Anolis sagrei: one gene and its partner. The protein of the gene in region 1 purifies or fractionates together with the protein of each later gene. This does not show direct contact. Links are inferred from orthologs where the notes say so. Each region holds a gene or a part of one and is shown on either strand. Other genes may lie near its edges.

Region 1 (10,437 bases):
TCTGATGGCCAATGGAAGATGCCCCTCCTTCAAGTAAATTGAAGAAGACTTTCCTTCTTTGTAGATCATGCGATCTGAGAATTGGAAGAAAAACAGCAAGGTCATGGTGAAGTAAGTTGTTTTCATGCTATTTACCTTTCTTTCTTTTCTAGGAGTCCTAAAGTTTGCCCGCTTGATAAAATCTTATGAGACCCAGGACCCTGAGATTGCAAGCATGTCTGGAAAGCTAAAATCTATGTTCCTGCCTCCGATGACACTGCCTCCGCATGGGGCCGGGACAGGCGGGGTTGCAGCATCGTGAAGCTGCCAGCCTCTTCTGTGTTTTCCTGTTATTATCCTTGCATCAGTGTTAGTTAACTGGATTTTGAGACAACTGGATTTCCTTGAAGTGGCATCATATTTGTCACATTTATGTACAGTCTTCCTTCAGTGTTGTGAATGTATGCTTCCTTGCATAATTCTTGTGATAAAAACTTTGTAAATACCTACCAACATTTGTATAACAGTGAACCTCTTTGAGCTAGACTTTTTCAACCTCATGGTGATAAACCACAACCAATGACATAAAATACAACCGCTCTAAGGTTACCGCATCACACACTCTCTGTTTGAGTTCCATTCATGGTGGGGTTTGTGGTTGCAGAGATATATAAATCTGACATTCAGTCTATCTTCTTGAAATATCCTGTATTGTTGCAAACAAGATAGTAAGTTGTGGGATAGACAATACTACTGTTGGGTGGATTGGGAATTGGGTGACTGGCCAAAGCCAAAGGGAGATGACCAATGGCTCCTCTTCATCCTGAAGAGATGTGGGCAGTGTCAGACATGCGATCCAATACAACAGCCAGCAGAGTGGTTTTGTTTGCTGTGGATTCATCTTGTTGTGTTTCAAATAATAGTAATAGCTATTATATCCCGCCACCATCTTCCCCAAAGGGACTCGAGGCGGCTTACATGGGGACTAAGCCCAGCATCAACAAGAATTCACAAAGTAATTAAAAAAATTAACAATGAACAATATAATTAAAACAGTCAATCCCCCCCCCCCCCAAATAATGACATTCATCAGTGACCTGGATGATGGAATAGAAAACATGCTTATAAAATTTCAGATGACACCAAATTACAGGGCAAGATTATAATTTTAAATGACTTTAACAGAACATTGAGATGGACTAAAACAAACCAAATCAATTTCAACAGGGAGAAATGCAAGATACACTTAGGTAGAAAAATGAAATGCGCATATATAAATGCGGGCTGAGAACAGCGGTATATAAGCAAAGTAAATAAATATTTATCTATCTCATGGGTTACACCTGGCCTGAAAACAGTACATGTGAAGGGAATTTTGGAGTTTCGGTAGACCTCAAGCTAAATATGAGACAACACGGTGATTCAGCTGCTAAAAAAAGTCAATGCAATTAAAAACTGCATCAATAGGAGTATAGTGTCTAGATCAGGCATGGGCAAATTTCAACCCTCCAGGTGTTTGGACTTCAATTTCCACAATTCCTAACAGCCGGTTTGTGGAGAGATTTACATTGAAAAGCCCAAAACACCTAGAGGGCCAAAGTTTGCCAATGCCTGATCTAGACTGAAGGATGCATGAGTGCCACTCTATTCTGCTTTGGTCAGATTTGACTTGGGATACTGTGTTCAATTCAAGAAAGGTATTGATAAGCTAAAATGTGTCCAGAGCAGGGCAACCAAAATGATCAAGGACCTGAAAGCCATGTCATACGAAGAGTAGCTTAGGGACAGTGTATGTTTAGACTGAGGAAGAGATGACATGATAGCCATGCGAGAGAAAAAAAATCAAGGGATAGTATACTGAAGATGGACCAACCAAGTTTTCTGCTGCTCCAAAGACTTGGATTTGGAGCAATGGATTCAAACTTCAGGAAAAGCGATCCCACGTAAAAATTAGGAAGAACATCCCGACAGTAAGAGCTGTTTGACAGTGGAATATATTTCCTTGGAGTGTGCTGGAGTTCCTTCTCTGGAGGTTTTAAAGTACAGGCTGAATGACCATCTACTGGGAGTCCTTTGATTGTGTATTCTGGCATGGCAGAAGGGGTTGGACAAGATATCCCCCGTGTTCTAACTCTCTTGTTTCCATAATACTATTTCGAGGCTGGATAGTCAGTGTGTTAAGGCCCAGATTCGCTTATGAAAATATAAAAATAATGAAAACACATACCAAGAAACTGGATACTTGGGAAGTTTTGTACACAAAAGCCAAGGCACCCTGATAATTATAGAAAGCTGAAAATTAGGCATCTGTCCATCTTACTTGAAAGGGAGAATCCAAAAGGTGCGTCAAAATAGTTACAATGCTATCGTTCTGTTATAAATCTGATTACCAGACAAAAGTGGAAGCAGCAAAAAATATTTGCCAACGTCTCCTTGGAAACAACACACTAATTATACTTGAGAAATAATTTTACCTTAAAGTATAGGCAACACCAAAGAGCAAGCAAAACAATACAAACAAAACATTGTTCCTCGTAGACCTGAATAATCTCTGATGGAAATTGATATCAGATATGATGATGATGATGACGACGACAGATGCCCTTGGCAATCAGAAAAGTTGTCGAACCCACATTGGCAGTCTTAGTATTGGTTCATGGTTTTGTTTTGTTTTTCTGTGTCAGGAGTGACTTGAGAAATTGCAAGTTGCTTCTGTTTGAGAGAACTGGTTGTCTGCAAGGACATTGCCAAGGAGACGCCAGGGTGTTTTACCATCCTGTGGGAGGCTTCTCTCATGTCCCTGCATGAGAAGCTGGAGCTGACAAATGGGAGCTCACCCCGCTCCCATGGGAGCTCCGCTCCCTGCTCCCATCGCCAACCTTTCAGTCAGCAGTCCTGCTGGCAAAAAGGTTTAACCCATTGCACCACAGGTGCTCCATTGGTTCATGGGGGAAGATATGCTTTGGTATTTCAATCACAATCTTTTCATTGCTTTAGAAACCTGAATCTCAGGCTCATAGATCTCTGTCCACTAAATATGTGAAAACACAGTATGACATGACAGTAATAGAGGCAAGTCTTACCTTGCAGAACAAGCTGAGCTGCATCTGAGAGCAAATGCTGGGTCACAAACGTGTCATTGCTACTTCGCATACTTGAATGAGTGATCAAGGGAAAACTTTTTTTCAACTTCTAGGAACACTTATCTAGGATGACAATCTGTATGCAATTAGATGGACATTGTTCCCGGATAAGCTTATTTTCAGTTATCATATAAAGTTTGACCAACAGTGACTATGGGTAAAAATAAACATCCGCCTAATGGCCTTTTCCCCAACAGCTAAGTGTTGGCTTTTGCAGAGTCTCAAAAATGAATTGGTGCATCATTGCTAAAAGATGGACTTCATTCGAAAGAGCAATAAAGGTTCTTGACACTGTAGATTGAACAGTCAAATGTTCTATAATAATATTTTTCAGCTTCTGTTAAGATATCCAGTAATGGAGGTTGGATCTTTCCCCAGGAATAGTGTCTCTCCTTTTGGTCTCCAGTTTCTGTGAAGCCGAGCTCTACTTGTGACAGATAGCAGGACTGGCAGTAAAATGTCTTATGGTCATTAATAAGCAGTAAAATGCAAAGTCTGCAAGTATGCAAATCAGGAACACATGGATGCCCCTTTTCTTGTTATTTATCTATTAATGATACGTGCTGAAACAACATGCTTTGTTATAAATTAATTACTGAGCAGGTACTATTTTTTTCCTAAATCATGTCTAATGCTCATGGCCCATAGTTAAACCAATATCTATGTTGATTAACCTGGCCTTCTTCCAATATGGGACACAAAGTGGCTTACAAACGACTGGCGACGTAGGAATTCAGCATTTACAGATTTATACATATACCTCCAAATATATTTATACATTTATACATATACCACCATATAATCCAGATTATCAATGCAGATAATTGACATGAACTCGATTATATGAGTCTACACTGCCATATAATCCAGTTTAAGGGAGATAATCTGGATTTTATATGGCCATGCAGAAGGGGCCTTAATATAGTTTCCATTCATGGGAGGGGGGGGGGGACCCAATTCTGCTCCTTATACTTCATTTTGAATCTTCCCAGTTTGTATAAACAAAGGTTTTCTCCTGACATTAAGTCCAGTCGTGTCCGACTCTGGGGGATTGGTGTTAATCTCAATTTCTAAGCCGAAGAGCTGGCATTGTCCATAGAACCTCCAAAGTCATGTGGTCCGCATGACTGGATGGAGCACTGTTACCTTCCTGCAGAAGCGGTACCTATTGATCTACTTACATTTGCATGTTTTCAAACTGCTAGGTTGGCAGAAGCAGGGGCTAACAATGGGAGCTCACACCGCTCCCTGGATTCGAAACTGCGACCTTTCGGTTAGCAAATTCAGCAGCTCAGTGCTTTAACCCACTGCGCCACCATGGGCTCCTCTGTTACCAAGTTATAATTGGTGGAGAGACTTACATTGAGAAAATGGTGTGGGGACTGAGTGGTTTCTACTGGGGCTATAACCACCCTTCAGACTGCAGCCATGGGAACCTTTTGAGTAGATGTAAAAAAAAGAGGCCCGCTTTGGGTCAGACCAAAGTCCTGTCCAGTCCAGTGCACTGGTTGAAGAGATGCTTCTGAGGAGTACATGTCAGCAACATGTTCTGAGGAGAACATGTATGGACATATTCAAGAAGCATTCTCTCCTGCCGTTTCGCCTACATCTATGGCAGGCATCCTCAGAGGCTGTGGACAACTTCAACATCAAGGAGGAAACCATAAAAATGAACAAAATCTGGCTACCAGTATTTAAAAAAACTAAAATCAAGACTGTAAATAAAGAGCAACACACAAAACACATGAAACAATCAAAGCCAGCTAACATCTACAAACAAAGGATTCCCCCAAGCAGGAAGCAGCCAGTCTTTGAAGCTGCACTGCCATTCAATGCCAATCAAGGTGGCCAATAGCAATAAGACTTTTTTTCTCCCACCCTGGACATTCCACAGATATATAAACCTCACTTGCTTTGTTTCCAACAGACCTCTCACCCTCTGAGGATGCCTGCCATAGATGTGGCAGAAATGTCAGGACAGAATTTATTTTATTTTTATTTAAAACATTTATATCCCCCCCCCCCTTCTCACCCTGCAGGGGACACAGGGCGGAGCACTACATATTTACGGCAAACATTCAATGCCGGGACATATAACCATAAATATATACAAACATTAAAATCACTTATATCCACATTGAAAGTTGCTTAAAAACCATCTCAGGACACCATTTTGCCTCATTGCACGGCCCTAAAGGCTTGGTCCCACAGCCAGGTCTTCACCATCCTTCTGAAGGACAGGAGGGAAGGGGCTGATCTAATATTGCCAGGAAGGGAGTTCCATAACTGGAGGGCAATCACTGAGAAGGCCCTGTCTCTCGTTCCCATCAAACGCACATGTGATGGTAGTGGGACCGAGAGCAGGGCCTCCCCTGATGATCTTGGTTTCCGAGGTGGTTCGTAAAGGGACAGGTAAACTGGGCCGGGGCCGTTTCCTCTTTATCATTCCTAAAGTGTGTTTAGGAATGATAAAGATTCAAAGTGGTGAGTGTATAAATAATATCATTGACTCATGCAAGCAACAAAAGTATAGCTCTCTTACAATAGAACTGGAATCTCATGGGTGTATTTACCTTTTTAGAGAAAATATTAATTTGGATCAATAATCAATGCCATATTTATACAGAGCATGAAGAGTTTAGGACAGGCATAGGCTGTTAGGAATTGTGGGAGTTGAAGTCCAAAACACCTGGAGGGCTGACATTTGCCCATGCCTGGTTTAGGCCTTAAAATTGTTCACATGTGAAGTGCAGGGTCTCCAGCTGGAGGTCAGCTGTGACCAACAGTGCTGTAGAATTTGAAGAGGCACGAAAGAGAAACGTACCAAGAGGATGGCGCATCAAGCCAACCCCAACCGAGATCGCTTTCCACCTGGAAACCAATGCCTTCACTGCGGGAGAAGATGCAGATCAAGAATAGGGCTCTATAGCCACCTCCGGACCCATCAGTACACTGATCTACGGACCCACCCTGGAGGATTATCCTACTCTGACAACGAGGGATCGCCTAAGTAAGTAAGTAAGCTGGGTCCTTATGATGGCAGTCAAGGATCTGTGTCTCTGAAGAAGTGGCAGCTTTAGTCACCATTGGGCTGCTAAACTGGGTGCTGCAGAGGGTCCGCAGGGCCAGTTAAATGCACAGCAATTGTGTGTTTTGTTCTGATGGGTGCATTTCAGTTCCAAACTGAGCACAGATCCACCTAGAGAGAGCCCTGCCGAAGGTGAACGGGGCGGGGAGAACAGGTTGTCCCTCCCCTGGTTACCTGTTTCTCCCTCAGGTTGCGCTTTTCCCTTCCTGATACCATTCCTGTGTGTTCATTAACTAACTAGTGCTCAGGGAGACATTTGCCAGGGAAAATAATGGGGCCTTGTTTACAAAAACTAAACGTTTGAGCCGGATTTCCATCTCCTTCTCCCTGGGTCACTAAGGAAGAACCTTCACGCCTGAACAGGTAAATTTTTAGCTATGAGCCTTTCCAGTTTGAATGCAACAGGCATGCACCCGATGCAATGTTTTATTGCATTAGGCCTCTTGCTTTTATTGATATTAATAACTAACACAATAATTAATATTATATTCCTGTTTTTCTCCAGCAACTATTGTCAGTGTAAAAACATAGTTGCCAACTTTTAAATTTTGTATATCTGGGAGCAATGCAGCACTTGACAAAGAAAGATATCCTCAGGCTCGGTTTGTATTTCCACATTCCTGGAAATAAGTGTCATTGGGGCCAATGGACTTAACCCTTGAGTCAACTTTTACAAGATCGCTCCCCCAATAGGATGAGATCCCTCACAGGAGGTATATATTTACACCAAAGATACTTTAGGCAACAAAGAAACTGTAAAAAAGAAATTCAAAGTTACCGGCACATTTGTTAGTACCTAAGTTGATGTTCTGAATGAAATCTTGGATAGGAAATCAACAAATCATTAATTGAAAATCTGACATGGGATTATAATCCTATTGGACGAAACCCTATTGATTGGAGCCCCCCGTGGTGCAGTGGATTAAACTGCTGAGCTGCTGAACTTGCTGACTGAGAGGTCGGCAGTTCAGATCCAGGGAGTGGGCTGAGCTCCTGCTGTTAGCCCCAGCTTCTGACAACCTAGCAGTTCAAACACATGCAAATGTGAGTAGATAAATAGGTACCACTCCTGCGGGAAGATATATATCAAGGCAGAAAATCCCACAATATCTGCTTTGAACTGGATTATCTGAGTCCACAGTGCATTATATTCCAGTTCAAAGCAGAAAGTGGGAGATTTTATTCAGCTGTATGGAAGGGGATGTAATAGTCTTTGGATGTGGAAAGATACAGCAACGTCTAGAGGTTTTGTAATGGTGGGAAATATTATAATGTATTGAAACATAAATTGTTTCGAAAGGAAATACAAAGACAGCGTTATGGTCATTATGGTAATTGTTAATATGATCAAGAACAGATCGATAGGCGCCCCCGGTGGTGCAACGGGTTAAACCCTTGTGCCGGCAGGACTGAAGATCGACAGGTTGGAGGTTCGAATATGGGGAGAACATGGATGAGCTCCCTCTGTCAGCTCCAGCTCTCTATATGGGGACATGAGTGAAGGCTCCCACTAGGATGGTAAAACATCAAAACATCTGGGCATCCCCTGGCCAACATCCTTGCAGACGGCCAATTCTCCCACACCAGAAGTGACTTGCAGTCTCTCAAATCTACACACAAACATATACACAATTCAATATGTTGTTATATTCTTGGGGCATATGTGCAATACTTATTTACTTATTTCCATTTGTTGTTCTAGATAATAGAATAATCCCAGAAACACAGAAAGCAAAATGACAATTGTATATATAGTTATGGCCCCTTCTACACTACCATATAATTTAGATAATCAAAATTGAACTAGATTATATGGGTCTACAGCAGGCACAGGCAAACTCTGGCCCTCTGGGTGTTTTGGACTTTGACTCCCACAATTCCTAACAGCCAGTAGGCTGTTAGGAATTGTGGGAGTCGAAGTCCAAAACACCCAGAGGGCCAAAGTTTGCCAGTGCCTGGTCTATATTGTCATATAATCCAGTTCAAAGCAGATAATCTGGATTTTGTAAGGCAATGCAGAAGGGGCCTTAAAGATAATGACATATTATATATATATATATACACACACACACGCACGCACGCACACACACACACACCCAACGTAAACGGGCTGGGAGAATGTTGGATATTGGATAATAAGGAGGGATTAAGGAAAAGCCTATTAAAAGTCAAATTACATTATGATTTTACAAATTAAGCACCAAAACATCATGTTTTACAACAAAGCAATAGAAAAAGCAATTCAATACACAGTAACGTTATGTAGTAATTACTGTATTTATGAATTTAGCACCATAACATTACAATGTATTGAAACAGCTGTGGATTCGGGCTGGAAGCAGACTGCGTTGGATAATACACAATGTTGGATAAGTGAAGGGTGGATAAGCAAGACTCTACTGTGTGTGTGTTTGGTGTATGCAGGTACTGCATGTTTTTTTCTTCAGTTTTTGATCATCCTCCTGATTTGGTTTTTTTTCTCCCCAGGACTGCATGCTGTGGAATCCCACCTTTTCAGCTTTCCTTAGTGGGGTCCCCAGTGTCTGGGATCCTGATGCCATCCTGCAGGTACGTTTCTCCCAAGCTGGATTTTTATTTTGCCTAGGAACCTAATTCATAGCAGAAGAATATCTTTGGGAAGGGAATCAGAAACTGTAAGGAAAATTAAAATAACGATTTTGCTAGCAGTGTCTATAATGAAGTTTGAAGCAGTTGTGGGGAACCACGTGTTTCTCCTTATGAACCTTCCAGGACTTTAAGATCATCTGGGGAGGCCCTGCTCTCAGCCCCAACTTCATCACAAGTATGGCTGGTGGGGACGAAAGACAGGGCCTTCTCAGTGGTGGCCCCTCAGCTATGGAGCACCCTCCCTAAGGATATCTGATCGGCCCCCTTCCTTTTAACATTTCAGAAGAAAGTCAAGACTTGGCGTTTTGAGCAGGCATTTGCAAATACAGTGTAATAGACATAGGGAAATGGAATGGTTGGACAATGTGATTGGACAATGTTTTTAACGGGCGACCCTAATGTTTGTGTTTTTATTAATTTTATTATGGTTTTATTATCCAATTGTTTTTATTGGATTGAAATTGTATTTTATGGTCTTGGTACCAACTGTAAACCTCCCCGAGTTGCCTGTGGGCTGAGAGGGATGGTATATAAATATAGTAAATAAATAAATAAATAAACAAGAGTAATCCCAAAATGTTTAGATTCCAATCTTTCATCAGCTACAACCAACATGGCCATTGAATAGGGATGATGGGTATTATAATTCACTTGTATCTCAAGATGACACTCCCCACCCCACCCCACATTTTGCAGGTGATCTCTAGGCTCCTTTTACGCTGCCATATAATCCAAATTATTAAAGCAGATAATCCACATTATCTGCTTTGAACTGGATTATATGAGTCTACACTGTCATATAATCCAGTTCAAGGCAGATAATCTGGATTTTATATGGCAGTGTTGAAAAAGCCTTAATGTGGTGACTTCTGTGACGGAATTAAAGGGCATATTTGTACTGCCTTGCTAAATACCCATTTCATCATGCCTGTCTTCCCATAAGTTTATTATGTCAGTAAACATATCTTCCTCAGTTGGCAGTGAGTGTGTCTGTCATGCTTTCTGTATTTATTTGGCAGTTGATGTTTCAAAGTTAAACAAAAAAATGTGGGTGGAAGGCTTCTGGCTGTTCCTTAAATGATTTGGGGCTGCTGCAGTCTTCCTTCCTTCACGGCTCAGGGCTTTTGTCTCTGGACTGATGCGAAAGGTATTTTATGGCTGATGCAAAACATCAGAGCTATGGCTAGTCTGATGCAAGATCACAGGAACTTGGCTTGCAAAATCTCTCCCAGATCCACATTTTTACACATTTCATTCTGCTTGAAATGTTGTACCCTTTGAGATTGAATGTATCACTTTCTGGTGAGAGAAGTGTCACCAGTGGTGTCTTCATTTCCTTTCTTTCTCTTTTGAATGGAAGAGGAGACCAACATTTAATGTCCATTTAAATCCTGTTTTCACCTGGGCCATAAGAGAGGATAATGATTGGACATTGTATTGTGGCAACCACAGTGATAAGCAAATATTATGCATGCAGAAATGCCCTCGCTTAAGCTCTGACATCACCAACTAAACCTAAATTTTTGTAGCAGATATTTGCTCAAGTTGTTCTCCTGCTGGAGAAGGAATTACTGTGAAATAGCTGGATTGGCGAGGTCT
Region 2 (9,991 bases), on another chromosome or scaffold:
CCTGTCCCCAGCAGGCCTGAAGGAAGGAATCACAAGGAAGGTTAAATTGGCATGTGCAGTGCTCAGAATCAGTTTAAAGAACTAGACTCCTTCTACTGTCATGGCTCAATTTACTTATTTACCACATTTGTATACCGCCTTTCTCAGCCAGACGCGACACAAAGCGGTTCAGTCGAAAGTGATTCAATGCCATAACAAATATCAAAATACAATTAATACAAATATAAAAACAATTCAACATTTAAAATGTAATATAAGAAGCAAATATATCTGTAAAAACAAGATCCCCAGCATCTCCTTACTAAAATCATTGTCCAGTTGCATCGTCAGTCATTCCATATATTCATTTACGTCTAGTTATGCTCTAGTAGAAAAAGCTTGCTTGAAGATCCAGGTCTTAACCATTTTGCGGAATGTTAGAATGGAGGGGCCACCACTGAGATGGCCCTGTCTCTCATCCCCAATATGATATATTGTATGTATATGTATCTTGTAAGCTACTCTGAGTCCCCTTCGGGGTGAGAAGGGCAGCATATAAATGTTGCAAATAAATAAATAAAAAAATAAATGATGAAGGACATGTTTTTGTATCTTCTCTTTTTGCCATTCAGTGGCAATTTGCAACTGAAGTAAGTTGAGGACAAAGGAGGAGAGAAGAACTAGAATGTTTTAGCAACAGCAAACAAAGCGGGATGATAAAGGATTAATTGGGACTATTTAAGGGTGCATTTATAATATAGAATTAATGCAGTTTGAAATCCCTTTAACTGGCTCAATGTTATGGAATCCTGGGAGTTGTAGTTTTGTTAGGAAGCAGTCTTCCTTGGCAGACCTTGTAAAACGACAACTCTGAGGATTCCATAGCATTGAGCCAGGGAAGTGAAAGTGGCATCAAATCACATTAATTCTACAGTGAAGATGCAGCCAGCAGTGAATTTCTTGTTTAGACTTCGGTTCCATTTCTATTATGGCAGAATTTAAAAACAAAATTAAAGATTCTTCTCTTCAGGCAGGCCTACCCAATCAAACCTGAATCACAAGTTTTTAATTTGCATTGCATTGTCACTATATGTTGATTTCTATACCCCATGTATGTTCTTAATTATAGTGTTTTTATCTGTGTATTTTATGTTAGTTTTTCATCGACTTAAATCAAGAAATAGTTTTCTAAGATCTACAGAGACACTTGCTGGAACACCTCAGCAAGCGAGAGTCCAAAAGTGGCAGGCTCAAACCCAGAACCTCAACCAATGGCTGATACCAAATGAGAGAGTCCCTCCTGGGCACACAGAAGACTGGGTGACTTGGAAGGCACTGAACAGACTGCGCTCCACAAGATGCAAAGTCAACCTTAAGAAATGGAGCTACAAAGTGGAATCCACAACATGCGAGTGTGGTGAAGAGCAAACCACTGTCCACCTGCTGCAATGCAACCTGAGCCCTGCCACATGCACAATGGAGGACCTTCTTGTGGCAACACCAGAGGCACTCCAAGTGGTCAGATACTGGTTCAAAGGACATTTAATCAACTACCAAGCTTGCAAACTTTGAGTTTTGTTTGTTTGTTAAAAAATGCAATGCAACTGTTTGGTCTGCCTCTGACACGATAAATAAATAAATATGTTAGTTTGTCTTGATTTTATTCAGGAATGGGCAAACTTCAGTCCTCCAGGTGTTTTCGACTTCACCTCCATTAGGCTTTTAGGAATTGTGGGAGTTGAGGACCAATAATAATAATAATAATAATAATTCCTTATTTCTAGACTGCCCTCTCTCCCCGGAAAGACTCAGGGCGGTTTACAAAATATATGGAGGGAGGGCCGAAGTTTGCCTACGCCCATTCTATGTTGTATCCTGCCTCGAGCCAAGGCAGAGAGTATAAATAAAGTGTACTATTGTGTTGTTGAAGGCTTTCATGCCCAGAATCAATGGATTGCTGTGAGTTTTTTGGACTGTGTGGCCATGTTCCAGTTGATTTCTCTCCTGCTTCTGTGGCTGGCATCTTCAGAGGTTCTGTTGGCAATGAAGCAAGTCTATCTATCTGCAGAATGTCCATGGCGGGAGGAAGAACACTTGTCTGTGAATGTTGCAATTAGTAAGAATTGAGTAGCCTTTCACCTGCAGTATCAATCTGTGAAGTTATCTGCTTAGAGGTGGTTAACAGTATTAAAAAAAAACACCAGAATTAGGATAGTAAATAAGGAACACCACTCAGAAACAGAACTCCAGATAGCAAACAATCAAGAGCCAATTAACACCCCCCAGAGGATGTCTCCAGGCAACAAAGAGCAGGCTCCCTCTATGCCAGTGGTTCCTAGCCTTTGGGCCTCCAGGAATTTTGAACTTTAGCTCCCACAGTTCCTAACAGCTGGTCCAAAACACCTGGAGCCCAAAGGTTGGGAACCACTGCTCTATGCAGATACCTTACCATTGACTTTACAGCTTAGTGGCTACTCAATGCTATTCAAGCTTGCTAATTGCAACATTCACATTTGTGTTAAGCAAACAAGGGTTCTTTCTTCCACCTTGGACATTTATCCCACAGGTTTATATATATATATACTAGCCGTCCCCTGCCGCGCGTTGCTGTGGTCCAGTCTCTGTATTTGTGTTTTGTGTGTGTATATATTTTTATTTTTGTGTATATATGTGGTTTTGCGCATGTGTTCTAATGTTTTGGTTTGGTTTTTTTGCTTTTTATGTCTTTTTTGCTGTGTTTTTCAGTATTTTCATGAGTGATGGTTACTTCTTGGCCTGATACGTGTATTGTGTCCAATTTGGTGTCAATTTACCCAGTGGTTTTTGAGTGATGTTAATCCCACAAATGAACATTACATTTTTATTTATATAGATGGATATATATTGTAAATAAGTAATTATATTTATTATAGTAGCATCACTATTTCAATATTATTATATTGTATTATGATTAGCACTATATTGCATTACATTATAATATTATTATCAATATTACATGTATATACAATATACTAAATTAGCATAACACACTATTAGTATTATATATTTCTATATTGTAGCATAGCACTATACTGCAATCTATATAAATAAAAATGCAATGTTCGTTTGTGGGATTAACAGAACTCAAAAACCACTGGGGGAATTGCAACCAAATTTGGCCACAAGACACCTACTAACCCAAGGAGTGACCATCACTAAAAAAAAATGAGTTTGTCATTTGGGAGTTGTAGTTGCTGGGATGTATAGTTCACCTACAAACAAAGAGCATTCATAACCCCACCAACGATGGAATTGAACCAAACTTGGCACACATTTCTCCCATGACCAACAGAAAATACTGGAAGGGTTTGGTGGGCAGTGTCCTTTGGTTTTGGAGTTGTAGTTCACCTACATCCAGAGATCACTGTGGACTCAAACAATGATGGATCTGGACCAAACTCTACACGAACACTCAATATGCCCAAATGTGAACACTGGTGGAGTTTGGGGGAAATAGAATCTTGACATCTGGGAGTTGTAGTTGCTGGGATTTATAGTTCACCTACAATCACAGAGCATTCTGAACGCCACTGATAGAATTGGGCCAAACCTCCCATACAGAACCCTCATGTGGGCCACTGCAACGCTTGGCAGGTGACGACTAGTGTGTGTGTGTGTGTGTATATATATATATATATATATATATATATATATATATATACACACACACACATATGTGATATATATATATATATATATATATATATATATATATAAGTAAAGCACAATATTATATATTACTAGCTGTTCCCTGCCACGCATTGCTGTGGCCCAGTCTGTTGATCTGGAAAATAAAGTAATGAGAAAGTGTTGGTTTCTAATATATGTAATTTCTTTATGCTTGTGGATAAACAGTATTTCTTGTTGTTTCTTTGTCAGTGTTGATGTGTCTTTTGTCCCACCCTGGTCATTCCACAGATATATAAACCCCTTTTCCTACTTCCAACAGACCACACTATCTCTGAGGATGCTTGCCATAGATGCAGGCGAAACGTCAGGAGAGAATGCCTCTAGGACATGGCCACATAGCCCGAAAAAAACCACAAGAACCTAGTGATTCCAGCCATGAAAGCCTTCGACAATACAGGCCTTCCTTCCTTCCCTTCGTCCCATGGAATCAGCCAGCTAAGGCGTAGAAACGAAACTAGGCCAGGCCGCAGCATCCGGCCTCCATCCACGGCATCCCACCGCCTTCCGCCGCCATCCCCGGCTCCTTCCACTCCTCAGACCTCGCTTCACCCGCCGACCCCACTCGGGAGCCGCTTTCCCCGCGGTTTCCACGGATTCCTCCCCACGAAACGCGCGCCCCCCTTCCTCACCTCAGCAGCACCGGCCCAAGATGGCGGCAGAAAGAGAGAGCGGCGCCGCGGTGCAAGCCGGGATAGGGGGACAAAATCGCCAGGACCCCTTCCTTGTTTAGAGATAGGTGGTTACGCTATTCGCCTGACTGAAATATCACAACATTTTGGGGGGTATTTTAAAAAGTGGAATTTAAAACTTCGATTTGGGTGTTTGATTTCCAATATCGAGCTTTTATTTCATCCTCTGTAATTTAACGATTTTTAAAAAATGTCAGGCTTTTATATAGACAGCCTTTTGCTAATGTGAGGGCCCCACAGGAAGTGAGTGGTAACCATGGCGACGTCAAGCTGTGCAAGTGATACCTCTTGGTGAGTGAGTCCCTTCAGAACGGTTCTATTGAGTTGAGAGGGTTTTTCACACAGGAAAAGCATTCAGGAAACATTTGGGAGAAAGCAGCAGAAATTCCAAACACAAAAAGAGGGAATGCAGTGAATATTAAGATGGAAACTATCCCAAGAGAGGAGGCCTCAAGGCCTTCACTAAAGTTAGGCCTCAGGAAAAGGGAAGAACAAATTATCCATCTATCTATCTATCTATCTTTACTTACTTAGGCAATCCCTCATTGTCCAAGTAGGATTGTCTTCTCTCTTTCACCTTCCATTTGTGCCTCTTCAAATTCTGCAGCACTGCTGGTCACAGCTGACCTCCAGCTGGAGCGCTCAAGGGCCAGGACTTCCCAGTTCTCAGTGTCTATGCCTGTGCAGGTACAGCTGTACCAGGAGCTCCAATTTTGTTTGCTTTGCATTGAATGTTTGTAGTCCTAAGTTTCAGGGACTCTGCAGATAGGTGGCTTCTTTTGGCTGCAATCATAGGGCAAGCCACCAGTCAATTATAGTTAGGTTCCCTGGTCCCGCCCCCTTTGGGTTTTTGGAGGGAATAGGAGCCAGTTTGGGTACAGTCCACACAGAGAAGGTTTTCGCACAGGACATAATACCAAGAGCTCCTGTAGAAAGCTTTGTCCATTTTTCAATCTCTTTTCATGTCTTCCAACATTCAATTTTCCGTTCTTGAGTTCGGAGTAGAGTAACTGCTTTGGAGACGGTGGTCGGGCATAATAATAATAATAATACTTTATTTATTTGTTTATTTTAAAATAAATAAAAATAAACGAAACAGAGTGGCAACAATTATGGAGACAAAGACATTAAAAAAATTATCAATACGTGTTAAAGAAAATTATTATAAGTTAATATGGAAGTGGTATCTGACACCAGTAAGATTAGCATATATAAATAAAAATAATTCAAAAAATTGTTGGAGAGGATGTCAAGAACCAGGAATATATATACATATGTGGTGGCAATGTAAATATGTAAATAATTTTTGGGGGAAAGTATTTAGAGAAATAGAAGATATAATGAACATTAAAATTGAGAAAAGCCCTAGTATAGCTTTATTATATAACAATACACAATGGAAAAAGGAGGATAAAGAAACGATAACAAACTTATTAACTATAGCAAGACTGCTCATAGCAAGGAATTGGAAAAAAGAAATGAATATACAAATAGAGGAGTGGTATAAGGAAGCATGGAAAATAGCAATAAATGATAAATTGACATGTATATTAAAAGTTCAAAAAGGTATATGGAAACAAAGTGATTTTGATGTTGTATGGGGAAAATTTGTAGTAAATGGTTTAAAAAACAAAGAAGGAAAGTTACCGTCACAAGAAGAATTGAAATTTTGGACAGACGATATGTAAAAGTTGTGGCTTGATATGGGGGGAGGGGAGCACAGTGGTGGGAAACAAAGGGGGAAAATGCTTAAGTAGAATAATAAGATTATATGTTAAAGAGTGTGTTGAATAATATGTAACTGCTATAACCAAACGCATAACAAATGTAATAACTATGATAAAAAAAAGAAAACCAAATTCTGCAGTACTGCTGGTCACAGCTGACCTTCAGCTGGAGCGCTCAAGGGCCAGGACTTCCCAGTTCTCAGTGTCTATGCCAGAGTTTTTGAGGTTGGCTTTGAGCCAATCTTTAAATCTCTTTTCCTGTCTTCCAACATTCAATTTTCCGTTCTTGAGTCCGGAGTAGAGCAACTGCTTTGGCAGACAGTGGTCGGGCATAATAATAATAATAATAATAATAATACTTTATTTATACCCCGCTACCATCTCCCCAAGGGACTCGGTGCAGCTTACATGAGGCCAAGCCCAACAGTACATCAATAAACAAAAGCAATAACAAAAACAATCAATACAATACAATTAATATAAATCACATAAACAATAAACAGTAACACACAAGAATTTAAAAACCTATGGCCGGGCCAAATGTAATAGTTTAAAATTTAAAAAAATAACGCTGAGCATGAATAAGGTAGGATATAACTGGTATAGGGTTTTCAAAGAGAGATGAGGGAACGCAGTCAGTCCTAAATCAGTGGTAAAGTGCATTTTGAGGGCATATTGCTGAGAGTTTTCCTTATTCTGGGAAGGCACACTGGAACAACCACATTTTGGGGCCCCTCCTAAAGACTGCCAATGTGGGGGCTTGTCTGATATCTTTAGGTAGAGAGTTCTAGAGTCGGGGGGCCACCATAGAGAAGGCCTTCTCCCTCGTCCCTGCCAATCGTGCCTGCGAAGGAGGTGGGAGCGCGAGTAGGGCTTCTCTAGATGATCGAAGAGATAATGTGGGTTCGTACACAGAAATGCGGTCATGCAGGTAGGCGGGTCTCAAACCGTTTAGGGCTTTGTAGGTAAGAACCTACAACGTGACCGGTCCAGCGGAGTTGATGGCAGAGGAACATCGCTTCAATGCTGGTGGTCTTTGCTTCTTCCAGAACACTGACGTTTGTCCGCTTGTCTTCCCAAGAGATTTGCAGGATTTTCTGAAGGCAGCGCTGATGGAATCGTTCCAGGAGTTGCATGTGACGTCTGTAGACAGTCCACGTTTCGCAGGCATATAGCAGGGTTGGGAGGACAATAGCTTTATAAACAAGCACCTTGGTCTCCCTATGGATGTCCCGGTCCTCAAACACTCTCTGCTTCATTTGGAAAAAAGCTGCACTCGCAGAGCTCAGGCAGTATTGTATTTCAGTGTCAATGCTGACTTTTGTGGAGAGGTGACTGCCAAAGTAGCGGAAATGGTCAACATTTTCTAATGTTACACTATTAAGCTGTATTTCTGGCATTGGAGAGGGGTTGGCTGCTGACTGCTGGAAGAGCACTTTGGTTTTCTTGATGTTCAATGACAGGCTGAGCTTCTCATATGCTTCTGTGAAGGTGTATAGAGTGGCTTGTAGGTCTTCTTCTGAATACGCACAATGTTGTAACCCACCTCGAGCCATGAGGAGAGGCAAATAAGAAAAAATTACTATTATTATACGCTAGAATATTATATATGTACCAAAGAACACAGACCAACTAAAGCCTATAGGTAATAAAGCATAGCTTCATTTCCTATAGTATAGTAAGGTCAGCTGCATAGTAAACACTAGTTTAAACCTAAAATTGGAAGCCCATGATAAACAAAGGAACCATAAACACTTTACAGTCCATTCTATGCTTGTGGACAGAATGGCTGGCTATATACAGCCCTGGTGAGGCTGGGTTGTTGTAGGTTTTTCCGGGCTATATGGCCATGTTCTAGAGGCATTTTCTCCTGTCGTTTCGCCTGCATCTATGACAAGCATCCTCAGAGGTAGTGAGGTCTGTTGGAAGTAGGAAAATGGGTTTATATATCTGTGGACTGACCAGGGTGGGACAGGGTGGCCAACAAAAGTCCTTTGTCCCCCCCTGGTCATTCCACAGATATATAAACCCATTTTCCTACTTCCAACAGACCTCACTACCTCTGAGGATGCTTGCCATAGATGCAGGCAAAACGTCAGGAGAAAATGCCTCTAGACCATGGCCATATAGCCCGGAAAAACCTACAACAACCCAGTTATTCCAGCCATGAAAGCCTTTGACAATACCTGGTGAGGCTATTTGAGAATGAGTTATTAACAATGAACATTTTGCATGTCTTCTGGTTCTGGGAGCCTCAGAGACAGTACATAAATCTATATGGTGACATACATATTTCTAAAATTAAAACTAGAATGTACACATTGGTTGGCTGGCAGCAATGGAGAGAAAGAAAGAAAGCCCAGTCATGGAGAGGAAGGAGTGAGGAGAGCATGAAGTGAGGCCACTTTCATCCCAAATATCTCTCAGTGATCTTTTAACATGACAACCTATATAAAATATATAAAAATGTAATCTTCTTTTGCATATGAATGTAGTAAGAAATTTTTCATAGGTAAGTCAATATTTTTGTATGACTTTTTTTCAAAAAAGATTATCAACATCAGGTGACAGGATATTATTCTTGCATCTTCTAACCCAGGCATGGGCAAACTTCGGCCCTCCAGGTGTTTTGGACTTCAACTCCCACAATTCCTGGAGTTATGAGAGTTGAACTCCAAAACACCCGGAGGGCTGAAGTTTGCCTATGCGTGTTCTAACCAAAGTCATGCCATGAAGTGAGATACTTAAGTTATCCTGAATTCATTGCAGATTACTCAAATCAATTTGTTCTTTTATTTTTGTCTTTCATGGATGCCATGTTATTTGGAAGCTTGTTTAGATCAAGTGAATGGCCTTTTAGGCTTTCCCCATGTGAAGAGGAATGAGTTCTCTTTTGGAATAATAAAAATTATATGTCTTGGTGGGGAGAATCGGGATTTTAGAGAACTTCAGGTAGATCTGGGCCAAAACAAAGAGAATCTCATTTAGGAAACACACATTGTAACATCCATAGTGTGGTGAGGTACCGGGTAATATTAAAGACCTTGCAAAACTACAGTGCCCAGGACTTCCAGCATTCAGCCATGGCAGTTCAAGTGGTGTCAAACTGCACCCATTCTGCAGTGCAGATTCACCCTCAGAGGCCCTTGAGGTGTGAATGCCCTTTGGGGAGATAGGGTGATATATAAATAACATTTTATTATTATAATTATTTTATTATTATTATGCACCAGATGATCTCAGTGAGTCCTTTCCAGCTCTACTGTGAATGAACTAACCCTTCCAAGAGACATACCTAGGATTTCTGGGATGCAAATCAAACAGGCTGTTTTCTTTCAATTGTCAGACACTGAATTCACCAGAAGGAGGCACTGCAGGATGCATCTGGGAATCTTCTTTCAGAAGCTCAGAGCAAAAGGCAAAGACCAGTGGACTCTTCAGAATTCTCCTCCAGAACCACATCTTAAATGGGTTTCTTTGGTTCCTATCAGTGTTCTTCCCTGCCCAGCTTTTACAGCCATACATAGAAGTGGGAATACAGTGACATGTTTGATGATTTACATTAAATCTTCTATCTCCATAAATTCAGCCCTCCATGGATTCAAAATATTTCCCTCCTAAAAAAAATCCAAAAAGAAAATCTTGATTTTGTCATTTTATATTAGAAAGCCCACTTTGTTGCATCCATAGACTTCGTTATCCATAGGTTATCCTGGAACCAAATTTCAGTGAACACCAACTATATGGCCAAGGTGATCCATGCCTTAGTCACCTCTAGACTGGATTACTGTAATGCACGCTACATGGGGCTGCCCTTGAAAACGGCTCGGAAATTCCAGATGGTCCAACGGGCAGCGGTCAGGTTGT

What was found.
Region 2: the proteins of PTPN6 (region 1) and RPL35A purify together in Homo sapiens (affinity purification with mass spectrometry; 3 studies listed by BioGRID and IntAct, with this or other methods). This does not show direct contact. The link is inferred for Anolis sagrei from reciprocal best matches to the Homo sapiens genes PTPN6 and RPL35A.

Annotation. Positions count from the first base shown.
Region 1 is NC_090022.1:198,221,153-198,231,589, forward strand, and holds the start of PTPN6 (tyrosine-protein phosphatase non-receptor type 6), read left to right. Parts: upstream 1-6,408; 5' UTR 6,409-6,573; intron 6,574-8,697; 5' UTR 8,698-8,764; coding exon 8,765-8,778; intron 8,779-10,437. Other genes in the region: C2H12orf57 (protein C10), read left to right, coding at 153-301. UniProt on the Homo sapiens protein: Tyrosine phosphatase enzyme that plays important roles in controlling immune signaling pathways and fundamental physiological processes such as hematopoiesis.
Region 2 is NC_090023.1:267,626,313-267,636,303, forward strand, and holds the start of RPL35A (large ribosomal subunit protein eL33), read right to left. Parts: upstream 4,427-9,991; 5' UTR 4,338-4,426; intron 17-4,337; 5' UTR 1-16. Other genes in the region: IQCG (dynein regulatory complex protein 9), read left to right, coding at 4,654-4,688.